Linked DNA regions of Stegostoma tigrinum. The protein of the gene in region 1 purifies or fractionates together with the protein of each later gene. This does not show direct contact. Links are inferred from orthologs where the notes say so. Each region holds a gene or a part of one and is shown in the gene's direction. Other genes may lie near its edges.

Region 1 (11,030 bases):
GCTCTTCTATTTTTTTGTTTTCTCCCCTGAAGGTCGTAACTTTTATTGTGGATGCAGTTACTGCAGAGCTGGCAGTTGTCCAGTAACACCACATCCAAGTGGTATCATTTATATGTAAACCAAAACTGTGAATATTAACAATCTACTTTTTTGTGATGAGCATCACAACTAAAGCCATAAAGTATGAACGTATGGGTGTTTTCCAGCAGGGGTCACTAGACTATGAGCAGGAGTGAGATCCCTTGTCAAAGAACATGGAAGCCAATGGCAGTAGAGCCATTGCCACTGGAGCAGAAGTAAAAACAAAACTCTCAAATTGGGAAGGAAATGATGAGGTGTGTTTAACACTTCAAACTTACATAGAACATAGAACATAGAACAGTACAGCACAGAACAGGCCCTTCAGCCCACAGTGTTGTGCCGACCATTGATCCTCATGTATGCACCCTCAAATTTCTGTGACCATATACATGTCCAGCAGTCTCTTAAATGACCCCAATGACCTTGCTTCCACAACTGCTGCTGGCAACGCATTCCATGCTCTCACAACTCTCTGCGTAAAGAACCTGCCTCTGACATCCCCTCTATACTTCCCACCAACCAGCTTAAAACTATGACCCCTCGTGCTAGCCATTTCTGCCCTGGGAAATAGTCTCTGGCTATCAAATCTATCTATGCCTCTCATTATCTTGTATACCTCAATTAGGTCCCCTCTCCTCCTCCTTTTCTCCAATGAAAAGACACCGAGCTCAGTCAACCTCTCTTCATAAGATAAGCCCTCCAGTCCAGGCAGCATCCTGGTAAACCTCCTCTGAACCCTCTCCAAAGCATCCACATCTTTCCTATAATACGGCGACCAGAACTGGACGCAGTATTCCAAGTGCAGTCTAACCAAAGTTTTATAGAGCTGCAACAAGATCTCACGACTCTTAAACTCAAGCCCCCTGTTAATGAAAGCCAAAACACCATATGCTTTCTTAACAACCCTGTCCACTTGGGTGGCCATTTTAAGGGATCTATGTATCTGCACACCAAAATCCCTCTGTTCCTCCACGCTGCCAAGAATCCTATCCTTAATCCTGTACTCAGCTTTCAAATTCGACCTTCCAAAATGCATCACCTCGCATTTATCCAGGTTGAACTCCATCTGCCACCTCTCAGCCCATCTCTGCATCCTGTCAATGTCCCGCTGCAGCCTACAACAGCCCTCTACACTGTCAACGACACCTCCGACCTTTGTGTCGTCTGCAAACTTGCTGACCCATCCTTCAATCCCCTCATCCAAGTCATTAATAAAAATTACAAACAGTAGAGGCCCAAGGACAGAGCCCTGTGGAACCCCACTCACCACTGACTTCCAGGCAGAATATTTTCCTTCTACTACCACTCGCTGTCTTCTGTTGGCCAGCCAATTCTGTATCCAAGCAGCCAAGTTCCCCTGTATCCCATTCCTCCTGACCTTCTGAATGAGCCTACCATGGGGAACCTTATCAAATGCCTTACTGAAGTCCATATACACCACATCCACAGCTCGACCCTCATCAACTTTTCTAGTCACATCCTCAAAAAACTCGATAAGGTTTGTAAGACATGACCTACCCCTCACAAAGCCGTGTTGACTGTATTTGATCAAGCCATGCTCTTCCAGATGGTCATAAATCTTATCCCTCAGAATCCTTTCTAACACCTTGCAGACGACAGACGTGAGACTTACCGGTCTATAATTGCCGGGGATTTCCCTATTTCCTTTCTTGAAGAGAGGAATTACATTTGCCTCTCTCCAGTCCTCAGGTACGACTCCAGTGGACAGCGAGGATGCAAAGATCTTCGCAAGCGGCGAAGCAATTGCATTTCTCGCTTCCCAAAGAGGCCGAGGACAAATCTGGTCCGGGCCTGGCGACTTGTCAATCTTAATGTTTGACAAAATTTTCAGTACATCAGCTTCCTCTATCTCTATCCATTCCAGCATGCACACCTGCTCTTCAAAGGTTTCATTCACTACAAACTTAGTTTTATTTACTTTTTGGTTAGTGGAATTCTTAGCCATTTTCTGATCTTCTGTCCCTGAAGGGTGTTGACTCATTGTGAGAGTGCAGTTGCTCATCATTGCCTCACCCAAGACACTATTATTCATGCACACACCTTGAGAATAAGTGTCATCAAGAATCTTTTTATCATGGGAATGTCATGCTTTAATTCACAGGTGTTTTGCACATAAATGACTGGATAGCAAGCAGTATTTTGGTCCCTCTTTGTTCAGAGCATTCAGGGCAAAATATAACACTCCTCCCCTGTCCCAGTTGGGATTAGTTAATGCATTCAAAAGAAGGAATTGAGCCTAGATTTTGAGTACATGTTAAAATATTGTCACTTCATTTAATAATGATTTAAAACATATATGTCGGAATGCAATTCTATTTCTTCAAAGGCTAATAGATTGTTGTTACGCTGTCTCAGGCATGAAAGTATAACGTGGTTAACAAGAAGGTATTTAACTACTGTGAAGGCCAGAGTCCTGCCGCAAACTCCATTCTTTAGTCAACAGTTCCATCCTGCTTAGTGGCCATTGTCTAAGGCTGAATCAGACTGTTAGCAACCTCATCATCCTTAACGATTTTGAACTAAGCTATCAACATCATTTCATCTTCAAAACCAAGATGGTCTACTGTCAGCGCTGTAATAGCAGTTCTCTCCATCCCTACTTGAGCTCACCTGCAGCTGGAATCCTGCCTTGTTACTACCAATCTCAACTATTACTCTATAGGCCAGCTTGCCACTTTCTATTGTCTGTAAAATAGAGTTTATTTGAAATGCTGATGTCCACATCCTAATTCACGCTCAGTCCAGTTCACGTATCCTCCCTTTGCCAGCTAATTTACATTAGCTCCCAGTCAGCAAAGTCTTGATTTTAAAATGTTCATTTTTGTGTTCAAATCCCCATTAGGCTTTGCCTTTCCCTATCTCCAACCTAACTTTCCAAGGTCTTAATGCTTTTCCGATTTTGATTTCTTACTCCATCCACTGGTTTTAATTTCACCACCATCAATGTCCATGCCTTCAGCATCCCAAGCCCTAAATCTGAATTACATCCCAAACCCCCCGGCCCTCATTCTCTGTCTCCTCCTCTAAATCGATCCTAATAACTCCTTATGAGACTTGCTTTCAAATTTTGTCTCATTGTGTGCGTGGAGACATTGGGAAGTTGTTATTTATGTTAAAGACACAATATACTAGTAAATTATATGTCAGCAAGATCAGAAGAATATTTGTTACAAAACTGTTTTTTAACTGTGTTGAACTAGATTGCTGGGCACATTCTGTCAATAATTGATATTTAATTAGTGACACTGGACTCTTGGACTTACAAAATCAAGAACTCTTGTCCAGTGTCATCATTATTACTATGTTTAGAAAAAAACACGGAAGGGAAAGTGTTCATCATCTTGGGATCATGTTCAAATCTGAAAACAACGTTCTGAGCAAACAGGCATTGTTGGTGACACACCTGGAGCACATGGACTAAGTAGCAGCCAAAAACATAGTGGAAATGTATAAAAAGAGACCTCATCGAGTAGGCCGGAGTACAAAAGAACAAAACAATCCAACTGCATTATGGTTAGAAATATGTAGGGTACCATTGGTGTTAAGGGCCTGGGTATGGAACAACCTCTTATTTCAGGTTAGTTATACCATATTCCTGAGGAAAACTTTACTGTAATTCTTCCCGAACTCAGCACCGAGAGCATTCCTTAGTGCATCAAGATAATGTTTGTCCAATTTTCACTCCAGCTTTTCAGTGTTACTTCCAATAAGATTAGAAATTTTATACTGAGGCCTATCCAGCTAAAATCTGGATTCAATCTCACTTTTTGTCCAGTAAATGGATGGTACACATAGGAGCAATCTGGGCTGAATCTGGATCCAAGTCCTGTAATTGGAAGATGTGTGTTTTGATCACTGTAGGTCAGTCCATCACAAATATTTATTTATAAATATTAAACCTGTGCAAGGGTAAAGCATGAATGTTAATTTCCAGTTAGGCAGAATGCTATTGAACAAGAGAGAACAGCTAGAGAGAAATTAACAAAGTATGTGAATGATGACAATTTCAATTCATAAGTATGGACTAGGAAGAACAAAAAACGTGAAGTAGGAAGAACACTGTTGCACAGGTTCATACTACAAACGTTCATGATCACAATGGAAATTAAACCCATAATTTTATCTCCACTTTGTAAATACTATTGTCCCAATTTTTGTTGAGTTAGTTGATCTCAGCTGGAACTGCAGTATGAGGTGCAGGGGGACTATGAGAGAAGGATGTCGGTTTTAGCAGTTGTCAGATGATAATTGACTGTAGGAAAGCTGATGTTCAGTTGTTCACTGATTCTTATTGGAAAACATGTGCATGTGTACATCATGTAAGAATGGGCATGCATCTGGTTGTGGAGCCACTAAGAGTGGAAAACCTATGAACATTCAATGTCAGGAATATTTATGAAGAATGATTAGATACTTAAGTGTCACTGGCACCTGTGGAAGAGTCACATCCTGCGGAAGAGAAAGAAGACCATTGGGGGAGAAAAAGTTAGGTGACAACATTATTTTTAACTGTGTTTACATTGCAGTCACAAAAGTTCAGGAAATGCAAGTAATCCCAAGAATTGTTAATTGCAAAAATATTGGCAAATATTCATTTTACTATAAGTAACATTGTAGCCTTTTGAAATTTAAAGCTTTTATATAATAGCCTCTGACTTGCAGCTTTAATTAATCTTATGGCAATAATGTGTACATTAAATGTTATGTCATGGCCCAAGTACATTATTGATTTTTTTGGAATCAACTTTTAATATCATAATCAATCTGTCGGTGAAAATGCATCAGCTACACTAATCATTAATCCAACACCTGCTGCTCAGTTAAGGTGACCCAAGATTGTCATAATGCTCCCATGAACTTTTTCTCTTTGTAGCATTCAACACATTTCCCGCATGCTTCAGGGCGTTATTTCTGCTTTCGATTTTGATTGAAGTGTTCGATTATTTAAATGCTTCTTATGGAAATGTTTATCGTCGCTTATGTACAAATTACGTTGGAAATGTCAAAATTAGGCCCACGTGCCAGTTGAGTTGGTAAAATATTTTAGCTGCTTTGACTAATCTCTGACATGAATATCCTTTGAAAGTATGTTTTAATTTCAGGTAGGGTAAGCTTGATTGAGTTGGTACTGTAGATGTAACCAGCAGAAGTGCTTTCAGGGAGATTGCAGTGTAACGACTTGTGAATAGATGGAGTGATAATGGAAACTGCGGATGCTGCAGAATCCAAGATAACAAAGTGTGGAGCTGGATGAACACAGCAGGCCAAGCAGCATCTCAGGAGCACAAAAGCTGACGTTTCGGATGGAGACGGGTCCGGTAAACAGAAATAAAACACCGTTTTAGGATTGCTTTAGATGTGGAATCGTTTGGTTGACATGCTGTGAACGGAAGAAAATTTGCGATAGTCTGACATGGTAGTTCCTATTTAGAAAATATTTTCTTCTCGATAAAACCTCAGCATTTAAAGGATTTATCGTGTCTAATTTCAACGCCTTCCTTTAGATTTAGCTTCGAAACGAAGCCAAAATATGCAAACTGATTACATCTATTGTCGCTGTTCCAACCTTCTTTGAACTTCAACATCATTGTGAAGTTATTATTTTTTTTAAAAGAAAACATATCACCATTTTAGTCATCGCGTTCAAATCTGTCAACTTTAAAGGGAACAACATATGTCTCTCCTTCTAACAGGTAACGTCGGAGGCGGAGCTCAAACCGTATTGACACGGGTGACAAAGTTAGAGTGAACTCGTGTTGAACTCAGGGATTCAGTTCTGATCCACAAAATGCAGAATATATTCCAAGTAAACAAACTCCAGATTGAACTAATTTCAGGACTGAAGTCGGGTGTCTGGTCCATTTGTCGGTGAGGAAGTGACTCAGGTTTTTTTTCGGGGGGGGTAAGAAATCTGTCAATATTTGACGTTGGTTAACCACTGTTCCAGAAATACTACAGGTCTGCTGGAGAACAGGGCGTGCAGCCTCAGGCATTCTCACGCACTTTCCCAAAATCACTGTTAGATTCAGGTTGTAGAGTTTTCAAAGGCTGCCCCGCAAATCGAATTAGGCTGGGTGCACGTCTGTCGACTTTAATTTTCAGGACTTGAATAAATGACACCGTCCTTCTGGATTTTGCAAAGCCACCATGTTCGGTCGGGAGCAAACACGTTCCCTTGAGTTCCTGGGGGACTTCAAACCTCTCTCTAGCCGTCCTCTCCGTAACCTGTTTCATTTTTCAGATATGAAGTCCACTGTCGGGCTGTCAAAATGGCTGTGTGTCTGTACGTGTTTGTTTTTATGCGTGAGTAAGCTCCCCACCATGTGTTTACTCATGTTGGTGGGCGGACTTTGATGAGCTCCGCCTCATCAACCTAACTTGAATTAGGAGGTGGGGGGCGGGGGGAGCCAGTGTTTGAGGCGGGGGAGAGGAAAGAAGGGGGCGGGAAGGTTCCAGGGTCTCCTGGAATTCCATTGGCCAGTGGCCCCCGGCTTGCGATGTCGATTGGATCACCCAGCCGCCCGTCAGGCTGTCTCCGCCCTCTCCCTTTGTCACGCAGAGCCATCAGGTTAGGCGGCTCGGCCCGGAGTACAATACAGCGCTTGTCTGTACAGAGAGAGGAAAGTAGGACAAATGGTACGACAGGGTCAGGAAGGTCTATGAGCGTTATTATTGTTATTAGTGTTTTGTCAACGTGTAGTAGCAAATAGATCGTTTTGTGCTTGTTTTCTGTGTGGCTTCTTTTCTGTTGTTGGAAATCGGTCTTTTTTAGAGTTTTTTTTGTCAGGAGGGACATTATATTTTTCTTGCTGCCCCAAGCGACGAAGTAACTTTTTTTTCAGAAGGAAAAGTTTTTTTTTACTCCTCGCGTGTTGTGTTTAAAGCTGAGAGAGAAAGGTGGGGTGGGGGGGGAATAGAGACAGACAGACATTTAGAGAGAGACAGAGGGAGGAAAACAAACTTCAAAACTTCAGTCATGGCCGAGGCACCGCCGCTGCAACAGGTCGTAGAGATCGACCCCGATTTCGAGCCGCAATCCCGGCCCCGTTCCTGCACCTGGCCCTTACCCCGGCCGGATTTCAGCTGCGCGTCGTCCCCGGCTTCGGTGAAGCAAGAAGGGCAGAGCGAGTTCAACCTGACCCCGGAAGGGGCCGGCCGGGCGAGCGCTTCGGTATCGCCGGCTCTGGTGCTGGAGGAGCAGGACGAGGACTATGAGCAGAAGCCCGCCGTTCTCGGACTGGATTGCTGCGGTGACTTCCAGTGTCAGCATCAACAACATCAGGATGGCTGTCACCATCAACATCAGCACCAGCACCACCACCAGCACCAGCAGCAGCAGCAGCAGCAGCAGCAAGTCCCCTCGGCCGGGGCCGCTTCGGCAGCCCAGAGAAAGAGCAGTTCATCTCGGAGAAACGCTTGGGGGAACCTATCATATGCCGACCTCATCACCAAAGCTATCGAGAGCTCCCCGGAGAAGAGGCTCACCTTATCCCAAATCTATGACTGGATGGTCAGGAGCGTCCCCTACTTCAAGGATAAAGGAGACAGTAACAGCTCTGCTGGGTGGAAGGTGGGTGCAAAATAGTATTTGGTTTAAAATCTTTTAAACTTTGTAACATACGTATATACACGTTAAATAAAACCAGTTCAGTTTTTGTTTAGGAACACAAGTTTTGGTTGAATCGATATTGTAAGGTTATTCTATTTCCCAAATCCACTTAGCGCCGGTTGTTGTCCAGCAGGAAGGAAGTCTGATGGGAATGATAGGAATGACTCTCAAAGATCTGAGACTGTTTAAATATTCCGCTTTCAGGACTGCAAAATACAGCTGTTTTTAAAAAAAGCTGAACCTTTTAAATGATTTACTGCTAATCATAGATTGTGCAGCCCGCAGAGATGAAGGTCGCCAATTTTATCATATTTTATCACCTGTTTTGGAGAGTGGGATAATATTGTGTTCAGTGGAAAATCGCACGTGTGATCAAAACAGTTCTAGTGGGTCTACTTAGTTACCAAGGAATTGCCGATTAGGTAAGCGGCTGCTCTCTCTCAAACACTGATCGCTTCACGGTGGATTTCCAACATGAAAGTTGAGAAAGAAAACGGATAGCATCTTCCACAACAAATCAGGGTTAGAAAGTCAGGAAATTCTGCCCTGATGAACACGCACTGTCTTTTATTTTTAATTTTTCATTATTGTCACAACATGTATAGCCTTGGCCGAGTGACGTGTAAATAAATCAATACTGTCTGACGTACGTTCCCAGTTTCCCAAACCAAATAGAACAGTTTTGTGCCATTATATAGGTTCATGGTAGATTTCTGTATGGCCAGCAATTAATTTCTCTTTCGAAGGGGTGGGGGCGGAAGATACTAACGACGGACTAGTGAGGAAGAGAATGTCAGAAATATTCGGAATAAATGTTAACTGTTGAGCAGCTCTCGGTTTTCCCATGAGCTGCATTATTAATTCAACCCAGACCATTATGGCGATTTAGTATATACAGGACTCGATGCAAGAGGTAGCATTGCTTGAACAATCATGAATCTGTCGTATTTGAAATTGCTAGTAAGACAGGGGATAGCCAGCATTTTTGAAGAGCAAGACAAGGTAATGGAAATCTGTAGCGTGATACCCTTTTTTAAAATGCGCTAAGGAAGTCCGAGATTAGTTGCGCACATGTTTAAACCAAAGACTTAAAAATGTTGCCAAAATACCGTACTGTATATATCCGGTTCAAAAAGTTTAATTGGTTGACTTGCATTTAAATGACCACCCCGGGCCCCATGTTCACATTGAAGTCTGTGGTGTGGTTTGGTTTGCACCTCTCGAATGCACTTTAACTTGTATGTCCATGGCCTCTGAATCTTGGGGCGGACATTAGTTTGGAGTGCATCGCAATATCCAAACGGCGCATCATTTCTTTTCTCGTTTTTTAAAGTTTTTAAGTGGAAACAGTCTTGCAGCCCTGATTTTTGTCTGACCTGATATGGAGCCTTTCTTTCTCCCTCGCTCTGTGTGTTAGTCATTTTGTCATGTCGGTACAATAGGAATCATAGTTGTTGGATGAATCACGCATGCAGTCGGCCGGTCGCATCTGCCAGTTTGTCCCTGAATGTTGTTGTTTCAATCAGGATCGCACGCGTCCGTCACTCACATCCGCATCCTAACCTGCTGCCCTTGCTTGGTCCCGCCCTTGCCCTGACGTGATTGGACTAACAGTGTCACCGCGTGGGGCTTGCAAGGGCATTTGCGGCTCCGGTTGGGTAGAGCCCTCTGCCGATCGTTCGGGGAAGGCAAGCTTGACGTTTCGCGGAGCGATGTATCAGTCCAGTGACAGGCGGCGGTGGCGGGGGGGAGGAGGAGAGAGACTGACTCATTGACAGAAACCAAAGTTACGCAAAGATCTCGACGAATTGTAATTCTAACCTCCTCCCGCTTTCCTCCACCATCCTCTCCTTCCCTTTTGTCGGGAAACTAGGCTCACGTTGGTTATGTATTTTTCCACATTTTTGGAGAAGGGGCAATCGTAGTTTTGGGGACAAAAAGGAAAACGGCTCAGATAAATAAGAAAAACTTCGAGTCAGATTGTGAGCTGTTCCTTTGTCGGCTTTCCGCTTTCTTTCGTGACTGGCACCAACTTGGAACAGTTTCATGTGTTTTTGTAGCTGTATTTTCTATGTTTTGTGGCGCAGACTTGTTTTTGATATCAGAATGGAAATGGATTTGACGTTTCTGTCAAATGAATTGTGCTATACTCTTTGTTGAGCGAAAAAAACAGCACCAGCTAGCGGAACGGTTCGTTATTTTTACATCTTCCGGCAAAACAGCCACAATAAGCAGTGATGCATTTCCTTATAGATTGGAAAATAACACATTTTTCAGAATTGACTCATTTGAACCCATTTGAACTGTTCAATGTTTACGTTACTACCAGCTTGGAATATAAATTAAGTCATTAGGTGGGAATTACCTGTCCTGTAAACTCTAATAATGACGGACCTTTTGAGGCATGGAACTTCTTTTATATAATAGAAAATACCCTTCTTAGTCATTTGTTTTGGAGCCTGGCAGGTGCAGACGTTGGGTGGCTCCAGCTCAAATTACAATTGCACCGGTGAATATCGCTTATTAAAATGTCTTAATATTTTAAATATGGTGGAATAAAATATTGATTCCATTCAGTAACCATTGCAGTGACTTTGAAGTCATCAGACCAAATGCATCAATGTCAAATGTATTAGTACTCAATGACATGTTCATAGAGGTGCTGAAGATGACAGATCTGTGGTTCACATTCTGGTACAATGAGATTTTTTTTTACTTCTGCCTTCTTTTTGGCACTGGAGCCATGTTCTAAGTCCTGACTCTGTTCTACGGGGGTGCATACCATACAAAAAAAAAACAAGCAAAGGGTCTAGGCCCGAAACGTCAGCTTTTGTGCTCCTGAGATGCTGCTGGGCCTGCTGTGTTCATCCAGCCTCACATTTTATTATCTTGGATTCTCCAGCATCTGCAGTTCCCATTATCACTGATAGAGTTTAGGAATATTGGGTTTAGGGGCAAGATTAGGCCTTTCGGCCCTGCCAGCCAGATCCACAATATTATGACTAAACTGGTTTTCAATCCCACTTTATTAACCTTACCTCCAACACCATAGCCCATGACTCATTTCTTGACAAACCTGACTGCTGATTGAGTGGCAAATGAGTGAGGGGAATTGACTTTCGAATAGTGACTAATTGTAAAATATACAGTTTACTTTTTTTCAAAAGTTACATATACTTTTGTACTTTCCCATTATTTTCAGGAGATTCATGAGAATGATATAGCTGTAAAACAGAGCAAATGGAAACTGCCAACTGAAAGCAGCTATGTTCCAGCACATTATTTAAGCATAAATAGAGTTTGAGTCAAAATACTCATA
Region 2 (10,254 bases), on another chromosome or scaffold:
TGAGTAATACTCTAAATTGTACTGTTAATGTTTTTAAACTGTGCTTTTCTTTATAGTAACATTAGAATGACCAAAGACTGCACGGTTCTCGGTGTCTTCATGACAAACATGAAGGACAAACATGACAAAATTTATTTTTAATCTCAACAACATGATAAACTATCACATAAAATACAATTAAAGTGTGGCTTGTTCTCCTGAAGAAGTGGAAATAGAAATTGCTAAGAAATTAAGCTTGATTGCAATTGACTTATTCTTGCAATGAAGTGAAAGTTATATCTTTATTTATAACTAGTCCAATGATATTGAAGAGATAGACCAGTTACACAAAAAGTTCCATAAAAAGGTATCTTTTCCATGATAATACAATGTGAGGCTGGATGAACACAGCAGGCCAAGCAGCATCTCAGGAGCACAAACGCTGACGTTTCGGGCTTCGACCCTTCATCAGAGAGGGGGATGGGGAGAGGGTTCTGGAATAAATAGGGAGAGAGGGGGAGGCGGACCGAAGATGGAGAGAAAAGAAGACAGGTGGAGAGGAGAGTATAGGTGGGGAGGTAGGGAGGGGATAGGTCAGTCCAGGGAAGACAGACAGGTCAAGGAAGCGGGATGAGGTTAGTAGGTAGGAGATGGAGGTGCAGCTTGGGGTGGGAGGAAGGGATGGGTGAGAGGAAGAACAGATTAGGGAGGCAGAGACTGGTTGGACTGGTTTTGGGATGCAGTGGGTGGAGGGGAAGAGCTGGGCTGGTTGTATGGTGCAGTCGGGGGAGGGGACGAACTGGGCTGGTTTTGGGATGCGGTGGGGGAAGGGGAGATTTTGAAGCTGGTGAAGTCCACATTGATGCCATTGGGCTGCAGGGTTCCCAAGTGGAATATGAGTTGCTGTTCCTGCAACCTTCGGGTGGCATCACTGTGGCACTGCAGGAGGCCCATGATGGACATGTCATCTAAAGAATGGGAGGGGGAGTGGAAATGGTTTGCGACTGGGAGGTGCAGTTGCTTATTGCGAACGAAGCGGAGGTGTTCTGCAAAGCGGTCCCCAAGCCTCCGCTTGGTTTCCCCAATGTAGAGGTAGCCACACCGGGTACAATGGATGCAGTATACCACATTGGCAGATGTGCAGGTGAACCTCTGCTTAATATGGAAAGTCATCTTGGGGCCTGGGATAGGGGTGAGGGAGGAGGTGTGGGGGCAAGTGTAGCATTTCCTGCGGTGGCAGGGGAAGGTGCCGGGTGTGGTGGAATTGGAGGGCAGTGTGGAGCGAACAAGGGAGTCACGGAGAGAGTGGTCTCTCTGGAAAGCTGACAAGGGTGGGGACGGAAAAATGTCTTGGGTGGTGGGGTCGCATTGTAGATGGCGGAAGTGTCGGAGGATGATGCGTTGTATCCGGAGGTTGGTGGGGTGGTGTGTGAGAACGAGGGGGATCCTCTTTGGGCAGTTGTGGCGGGGGCGGGGTGTGAGGGATGTGTTGCGGGAAATGCGGGAGACGCGGTCAAGGGCGTCCTCGACCACTATGGGGGGAAAGTTGTGGTCCTTGAAGAATTTGGACATCTGGGATGTGCGGGAGTGGAATGCCTCATCGTGGGAGCAGATGCGGCGGAGGCAGAGGAATTGGGAACGGGGATGGAATTTTTGCAGGAGGGTGGGTGGGAGGAGGTGTATTCTAGGTAGCTGTGGGAGTCGGTGGATTTGAAACGGACATCAGTTACAAGCTGGTTGCCTGAGATGGAGACTGAGAGGTCCAGGAAGGTGAGGGATGTGCTGGAGATGGCCCAGGTGAACTGAAGGTTGGGGTGGAAGTTGTTGGTGAAGTGGATGAACTGTTCGAGGTCCTCTGGGGAGCAAGAGGTGGCGCCGATACAGTCATCAATGTAATGGAGGAAGAGATGGGGTTTGGGGCCTGTGTAGGTGCAGAAGAGGGACTGTTCCACATAACCTACAAAGAGGCAGGGATAGCTGGGGCCCATGCGGGTGCCCATGGCCACCCCTTTTGTCTGTAGGAAGTGGGAGGAATCGAAAGAAAAGTTGTTGAGGGTGAGGACGAGTTCGGCTATGCGGATGAGGGTGTCAGTGGAGGGGGACTGGTCGGGCCTGCGGGACAGGAAGAAGCGGAGGGCCTTGAGGCCATCTGCTTGCGGAATACAGGTGTATAGGAACTGGACGTCCATGGTGAAAATGAGGTGTTGGGGGCCAGGGAATCGGAAGCGGTTTCACTTTCAGGTCTCCTTTTCTAATGGTTAAGTTATGAATTATCAAGTATTTATTCTTCCAAATAAAGCTGGCAACCCTTTGTAACCATATTTTGCCCACAGAGCAATTAAGAGTCAAAGAGTTACAATATTTTGGAGTCACAAGAGGCTAGGGTCAGGAACACATAGCAGATTTCCTTTCATGAAGCACATTAAACAGTGAGATTTTTTTATGACAACCAACCAGTTAGGTGACTTTTTTATTCCTGGTTTTGTCGAGTTACTTGTACCAGATGGGGCAAAACGTGCATTAATTATTTTAACATAAGAGCTTGATGTATGGCTGAAGTAGTCCTGAAAGATTTAATTGCCATTTATTACACCTGATATAAACATATATTACAGTCATGGACTAAGATGGGCTCCAAGACTCTTAAAGTATCTGCCATCCTCACCTGGTATGGTCTCCGTGTGACCCCAACCTAAAGCAATGTGGTTGACTCTTAATTGCCCACTGAAATGGCCTAGGAAACCATTCAGTTGTACCAATCACTACAAAGAAATGAAACCAGATCACCTGGCATTGACCTCGGCACTGGAAAAGAGTGGATGATCCATCTTGGCCTGTTCCAGTAGTCCCCAGCATTACAATTACCAGTCTTGATGCCAATTCGATTCACTCCACATGATTTCAAGAAACAGTTAGAGGCACTGGATACTAAAAAAGGCCTGTGCTCTGACAACATTCTAGCATTAGTACTGAAGACTTGGGTTCCAGAACTCGCTGCTCCCCTAGCCAAGCCATTCCAGTAGAGTTCAACACTGGCATCTACCTGATATTGTGGAAAATTGCCCAAGTATATCCTGTACATAATAAGCAGGACAAATCCAACCTGGCCAATTACCGTCCCATCACTGTATTGTTGATCATCAGTAAAGTGAAGGAAGGTGTCATCAACAGTGTTATCAAGCAGCACATGCTCAGCAATAACCTGCTCAGTGATGCCCTATTTGGGTTCTGCTAGGGATACTCAGCTTCTGACCTCATTATAGCCATGGTTCAAACATGGATAAAAGAGTCGAATTTCAAAGGTGAGGTGATTATAGCCATGGTTCAAACATGGATAAAAGAGTTGAATTTCAAAGGTGAGGTGATTATAGCCATGGTTCAAACATGGATAAAAGAGTTGAATTTCAAAGGTGAGGTGACAGTGATAGTCCTTGACATCAAGGCTGCATTCGACCAAATGTGGCATCAAACAGCCTTCGCTAAACAGGAATCAGTGGGTAATAGGGGGAAAACTGGTGGTTAGCATCATACATGACACATAGCAAGAAAGTCGTGATTGTTGGAGGTCAGTTATCTCAGCTCCAGGGCATCTCTGTGGGAGTTCCTCAGGGTAGTGTTCTCAGGCTAACCATCTTCAGCTGCTTCATCAATGAACTTCCCTCCATCATGAGGTCAGAAGTGGGAATGTTGGCCGAAGATTGCACAATGTTCAGCACCATGCATGACTCCTCAGATACTGAAGCAATCTGTGTCCAAATGCAACAAGATCTGTAAATATCCAGGTTTGGGCTGACAAGTGGCAAGTAACATTCATGGCACACAAGTGCCGGGATATGACCATCACCAATAAGATGCAATCGAACCACTGCCTCTTGACATTCAATGGTGTTGCCATCACTGAATCCCTCAGTGTCAATGTCCTGGGAGTTATCATTGATCAGAAGCTCAACTGGACTCACCACATTAAGCTCAGCGGCTACAAGTGCAGGTCAGAGGCTAGAAATACTGCGGCAAATAAATCACCTCCTGACGCCTCAAAGCCTTTCCAACATCTACAAGGCACAAGTTAGGAGTGTGATGGAACACTCCTCACTTGTCTGGATGAGTGCAACTCCAGCAACGTACAAAAGCTTGACACCATCCAGGATAAAGCAGCCCGCTTGATTGGCACTGTATCCACCAGCATCTACTCCCTCCACCACTGACATTCAGTAGCAGCAGCGTGTACTGTCTACAAGATGCACTGCAGAAATTCACCAAAGATCCACAGACAGTGCCTGCCAAACCCCACAACCACTTCCATCTAGGAGGACAAGGACAATATATTTATGGGAACACTACCACCTTCAAGTTCCCTTCCAAGTCACTCACCAACCTGACTTGGAAATATATTGCCATTCCTTCATTGTTACTCAGTCCAAATCCTGGAATTCGCCTGCTAATGACATTGTGGGTCAACCCACAGCAGGAGGACTGCAGCTGCTCAAGAAGACAACTCGCCACCAAGGACAACTTCTCAAGGGCAACTATCAATGGCCAATAAATGCTGGCCAGCCAGTGAAACTCTCATCTCACAAAATGAATAACGGTCAGATGCTATACATGGTGCTGCTACTTTTTGTGTATCTTAAAGGTATAATAAAGTAGAATACAGACACTGGGAATCTCAAACAAAAACAGTGCTGGAGAAACTCAGCATGTCTGGCAGCATTTGAGAAGAGAGAAACAGAGTTAACATTTTGAGTGTGATATGACTGTCCTTCAAACTTTTTTTTATTTCTCTTAAAGGTATACTGCATACCAGCAGAGAGGCATTCTTCTAGAGACATTTTTCTCAAAAGTTCAAGACTAGTTGGGTTTTCCATGCGTCTCAAATTCTGATCTCTTATGCATTCACAATCATAACTGCTTTACCAATGATGGAATTGCTGTAGGTGGCCTAGATCAAGAGCTCCAAAATTCTGCCCTTCCAGCTCTCCAACACTGTAACGTGCTTTCTTCTAGAGACATTTTTCTCAAAATCGTGCTGACTAAATTTTGATCGTCTGAGCACAAGCTTCTTTCTATGGCTCAGCAACACAGTTTGTTATATTCCACACTCCGGGCATCCTTTGCTACGTGTGAGTATTTGCAATTTGTAAACATGTACAACTCAGTGAGTTCAGGATGTCTGCCCTTCCAAATAATGGCAGTTGCTGCAGCCAAGAGTCATTCAGAGTTTAGGAAGGAGTTTTTGTTTGGTTTTAGTTTTTCTGCAGAATCTGACAGAAATGGTGGAAGGGTCTTTTTTTAGATTCCCTACAGTGTGGAAACAGGCCCTTCAGCCCAACAAGTCCACACCACCCCTTGGAGCATCCCACCCAGACCCATCCCCCCCAAACCCACACACCCCTGTACACTATGGGTAATTTAACATGGCCGATCCACCTAACCTACACATCTTTGGACTGTGGGAGGAAACCGGAGCACCCGGAGGAAACCCACGCAGACACGGGGAGAATGTGCAAACTCCACACAGACAGGACATGGATCTTACATGGACCTGAAAACCCCTCGCTTCGCCCCGCGGTGGTACGGGGCGGGGCTGTCCCGGTGATGTCATCTGTCTGCGCCGAGCGGTGTGACGGACGAACTGCGCCTCAGGCGGCGGCTGGCTCAACGCGGAAGTGTTCGCGATGGACGGCACGGGCTCCGGGCGCCCGGCGTTGCAATTTGCTCCCTTCAGTAGCGCTTTGGACGCAGGTTTCTGGCATGAGCTCACTCAGAGGAAACTGAACGACTACAGACTGGACGAGAGTCCCCGAAATATCAGGGGCTATTACTATAACGGTACCAGCACCTGTGTCGGGGGTGGAGTGGGGAAGCACTGTCCTGGGTTTAATTTGCAAAGGCACCCCCCCGCCACCACCTCTCGATCAAGCATTATTACTGGCTTTATACTTTTAAAAAACTTATTTTAAAGCAGCATGCAGCAAAATAAAATCTATTTTCTTATTTGAAAGGTGATCCTGCTGGACTGCCAACTCGACTAACTTTGGAGTTCAGTGCATTTGATGTGTGAGTAATTGTGGGATCATCAGTGCTTTTTCAGCAGCATTTGAGGGAGTGTAAAAGTGCCTTGTTTAATCTTTGATCACTGCGGTGGTTCTTATTTGTTTTAAGTTGAATCTCAGTAGGTGTCAGTTTTAATTGTTTTGAAAGTTATTTCTATCTGAGAAACTGAATCATTATATTGGAACCTTAGTAAAGATTAGCAGTAACATCAATATTTGCTCTTCACCTACATGGAATTGCCTTTGGCAATGAAACAGTGAGTGCTTTTAAAGAAGCTTTTGTTGCTGCCAATAAACGTGTGTGGCAGCCTTGCCTCATTTCTAAGCTTATCTTAGTTTGTACTGACACATCACTGTAAATGTTGCATTCTCTCTGACATTTGTTAATTGATGGATAAATGTGAAAAGGAAATAGATTGTCATGTATGTATCCTCTGAATAAAACCAAAAACTTCATCTTTCCAGACAGATTATTGAAACATTTTGAAATATGATTTTAAAAAGCTTTATTTACAATGAATGAATCTAAATTAAGAAATGCTATTTTGTAACTGGTAGGTGTTGCTGCAGCTGAATTTTGATGCTAAAGCGTTGCCAAAATTTTAGGTTGAGAGGCTGCTGAATTGTGATCAATTAGCATGTCACCCAGCCACCAGACCTTTTAAAACTTCATTCAAACTAACAGTATCCATTATTCATTAATGAAAGAATTTGCAGCCAGTTGGTAACTTTGAGACTGAGTTTTGATTGCTCCTGCTAGAGATTTAAGGAAAGACTTTATGGTTTCTTTGTGTGCTTTAGGGAGCCCTAAACTGAAATAGACACAAATAGCTGGAGTGAGTGGGGTGACAAAGGGATTATGCATGTGTGCTGGTTGAAGCAGTTAATGTGCATTGAGAGTCACGTGTTATCAGTGAAGTTTTCTGTTTCTTTGTTTCTCTTAAGTATAGGTATGAATCAGAAGTTGAAAATGGGTGCAGTTTTCCATGTTGATTATACCTCAGTAGCCCCGTTCTGCTGCAGGGTGGCTTCTGATGATGAAAGTAACGTAGGCAGCTCATTTCTAGTGCCAATGACTGCCTCCTATTCCCATGAGAAACAGTAATCCATACTGGTGTGGATAGTATAAGTTACTGCTACCAAAACTCCAACTGGGACCAATTAACAATACATTTTGGAATCTAGGTTCAAATAGGCTAATCTGGTTGCCTGGCCATTGATTTTTAATATTGCTAATCTGAATGTCATTGCTGAAGACTGTGTGTACATGATTTTGGAAAAAAAGCTGCATATACAGTTGCTCCTTGTTTATATCATTCTGCAGTAAAAACGCAAATGGAAGTAGCATAAGAGAAAACAGATATTTCCATTAAAAATGGATCAAAAATATAAAAGCAATGTAAATCTATTGTTATATTATAAATATCAGTGTCATTTAGATACAAGTTTTAAATTAAGATCTGATTAACATGACTATATTGGAAACTTCAATTGCCAAAGTTTGTTCCAGAAGCTTGCTATCAGCTGAATTTAATGTTAACATAGCAAACTGCAATATTTTGTATTCTGTTAGTTGGCTGCCTTTTCATGCTTTAAGGATTCAGCAGTGAAAGCATTATTTTCTGTGCCATGATTCAGTTTTAGATAAATCGTCAACCAATTGTTTGTTAGTTCAGGAATTTAGTTTTCTCATGAAACAAATCTTTTATAGTTTGCAGTTCCCCTGTTAATATGGTTCTGGTGATTGTGAGGCTTTTTGTTTTGTTTTGATTTTGAACCTGCCACTGTTACAATGAAATGTGGTGCAGGATGGAGCAGCTCTGCTATTATATCACCATGACTTTAGAATCAATGTGGACGCATTGAAAGAACTACAGCTGAGATCCTAGCTACTTTATTTATGGCAGAAATCACAAACTACTCTCATTTTTTAGCTTGTTCTGTCTCAAACACGTTGATTCCTTGTCAGATTTTTCGATGCTCTCCAACAGTCGTTTGTCACCTTGCTGTTTGTGAGCCTTGACTACAAATGCTATTAGATTATTTTAGTGAGGGCAGGCATCACCTCTGTGCCTCATGTGGCCCATTGATTCACTACTCTCAGTGAGAAGAAATTGTTCCTCATCTCTCTCTTAAACGTGCAGCCTCTTATTCTGAGATTATGCCCTCTGCTCTCAGACTCCTCCACAAGGAGGAGCAACCCTTTTGCGTCTACCCTGTCAAGTTCCCAAAGAATATTGTGTATATGATAAGTGCACAATGTCAAATTTGGTACATTGGTTGAAATGTACTTGTGGCATTAATGTCATTTGTCTATTATTACCTGCAGCATAGAATAGTCTTTCATTTATGTAGTCAACATTGTTCAGTGGCCTTATGGGTCATTTCAATCTACCCAATCAAAGGACACCTTCAGAAATATGATTGAATTCAGACTAAATAATGTTCATCCGAAACAAAGTGTTAACACCCTTCTTACTGGTGTAAGAAAATAATTTTGCATGTTCACTTAGGAATGCTGTGACGCCACCTCGGTGTTGCCCTGCTTTTGGCACTCTGTATAATACCAACACCTTGCAGTCATTTAAATCCACTGATAAAAAGGCTTTGCTGGAGCAAGTGGGAAAAGAGGTGAGTTGCAAAAAGTAACATTCTTTATTCCTTGAGGGTCAGGTGTTTGTGATTTTTATGATGAATAACTTAAAGGAGTGTGGGTTAGATTTTAAAAACTTCATTTATTTACTTGTGTGTTCCTTAAGGACAGTCATTCTTCATTCCTCTTGCTGCTGTTTACAACATATGGTTTGGGTCAGCTGATCCACGGAAACAAGTGGTGAGCATCTGACCAGAATGACAAAAATGATGGTTGTGATTAATTTACCCACACTTTGATAATAGAGAGAGCAGATGCTGATGTCTCGTGATACCAGATTGTGAGGTGATAGCCTAATGTGAACTTCAGTTTGCATTTTAAAAAAGTCAAGGATGCTTATCAGCTATGTTAAGGCAATTTCCCTTTTCACAAACTTTGGTTAATCTGTAAATTTACTAGTGACCGCAAATCAATCTTGTAACACTAACGTTGAATTTAATGTGATAGACAATAGACAATGGGTGCAGGAGTAGGCCATTCGGCCTTTTGAGGCAGCACCACCATTCATTATGATCATGGCTGATCATCCACAGTCAGTATCCTGTTCCTCCCTTATCCCCATAACCCTTGATCCCACTATCGTTAAGAGCTCTATCCATCTCTTTCTTGAAAGTATCCAGAGACTTGGCCTCCACTGCCTTCTGGGGCAGAGCATTCCATATATCCACCACTCTCTGGGTGAAGAGGTTTTCCTCAACTTTTCTAAATGGCCTACCCCTTATTTTTAAACTGTGTCCTCTGGTTCTGGACTTACCTGTCAGCGGAAACATGCTTCCTGCCTCCAAAGTGTTCAATCCCTTAATAATCTTATACATCTCAATCAGATCCCCTCTCATCCTTCTAAACTCAAGTGTATGCCAGCCCAGTCGCTCCAATCTTTCAACATATGATAGTCCCACCATTCTGGAAATTGACCTCGTGAACCTACGCTGCACTCTCTCAATAGCCAGAATGTCCTTCCTCAAATATGGAGACCAAAACTGCACACAATACTCCAGATGCAGTCTCACCAGGGCCCTGTACAACTGCAGAAGGACCTCTTTGCTCCTATACTCAATTACTGTTATTATGAAGGCCAGCATGCCGTTAGCTTTCTTCACTGCCTGCTGTACCTGCATGCTTGCTTTCATTGACTAATGTACAAGAACACCTAGATCTCGTTGTAATTCCCCTTTACCTAACTTGACTTCATTTAGATAGAAATCTGCCTTCCTGTTCTTGCCACCAAAGTGGATAACCTCACATTTATCCACGTTAAACTGCATCTGCTATGCATCCGTCCACTCACCTAGCCTGTCCAAGTCACCCTGTATTCTCATAACATCCTCCTTACATTTCACACTGCCACCCAGCTTTGTGTCATCAGCAAATTAGCTAATATTACTTTTAATGCCTTCATCTATATCATTAATGTGATCTGAATTAATTTCTTTGTTTTAAATTATTCTTTTATGATAGATGTGTAAACTACTACAGATGAACTATAGCTGTGGAGATAAACCAAGCTGGTTCCTTGGTTACTAGGCACAGTATATTTTAAAAAAACAGAGCATGACGAATGAAATAACT

What was found. Proteins that work in one complex are often made in the same cells at the same time.
Region 2: the proteins of foxo1a (region 1) and atg7 purify together in Homo sapiens (affinity purification with western blotting; 4 studies listed by BioGRID). This does not show direct contact. The link is inferred for Stegostoma tigrinum from reciprocal best matches to the Homo sapiens genes FOXO1 and ATG7.

What each region holds. Positions count from the first base shown.
Region 1 is NC_081359.1:88,063,838-88,074,867, reverse strand, and holds the start of foxo1a (forkhead box protein O1-A), read left to right. Parts: upstream 1-6,675; 5' UTR 6,676-7,078; coding exon 7,079-7,672; intron 7,673-11,030. UniProt on the Homo sapiens protein: Transcription factor that is the main target of insulin signaling and regulates metabolic homeostasis in response to oxidative stress.
Region 2 is NC_081364.1:23,883,243-23,893,496, forward strand, and holds the start of atg7 (ubiquitin-like modifier-activating enzyme ATG7), read left to right. Parts: upstream 1-5,609; 5' UTR 5,610-5,654; coding exon 5,655-5,808; intron 5,809-5,981; coding exon 5,982-6,036; intron 6,037-8,545; coding exon 8,546-8,663; intron 8,664-10,254. UniProt on the Homo sapiens protein: E1-like activating enzyme involved in the 2 ubiquitin-like systems required for cytoplasm to vacuole transport (Cvt) and autophagy.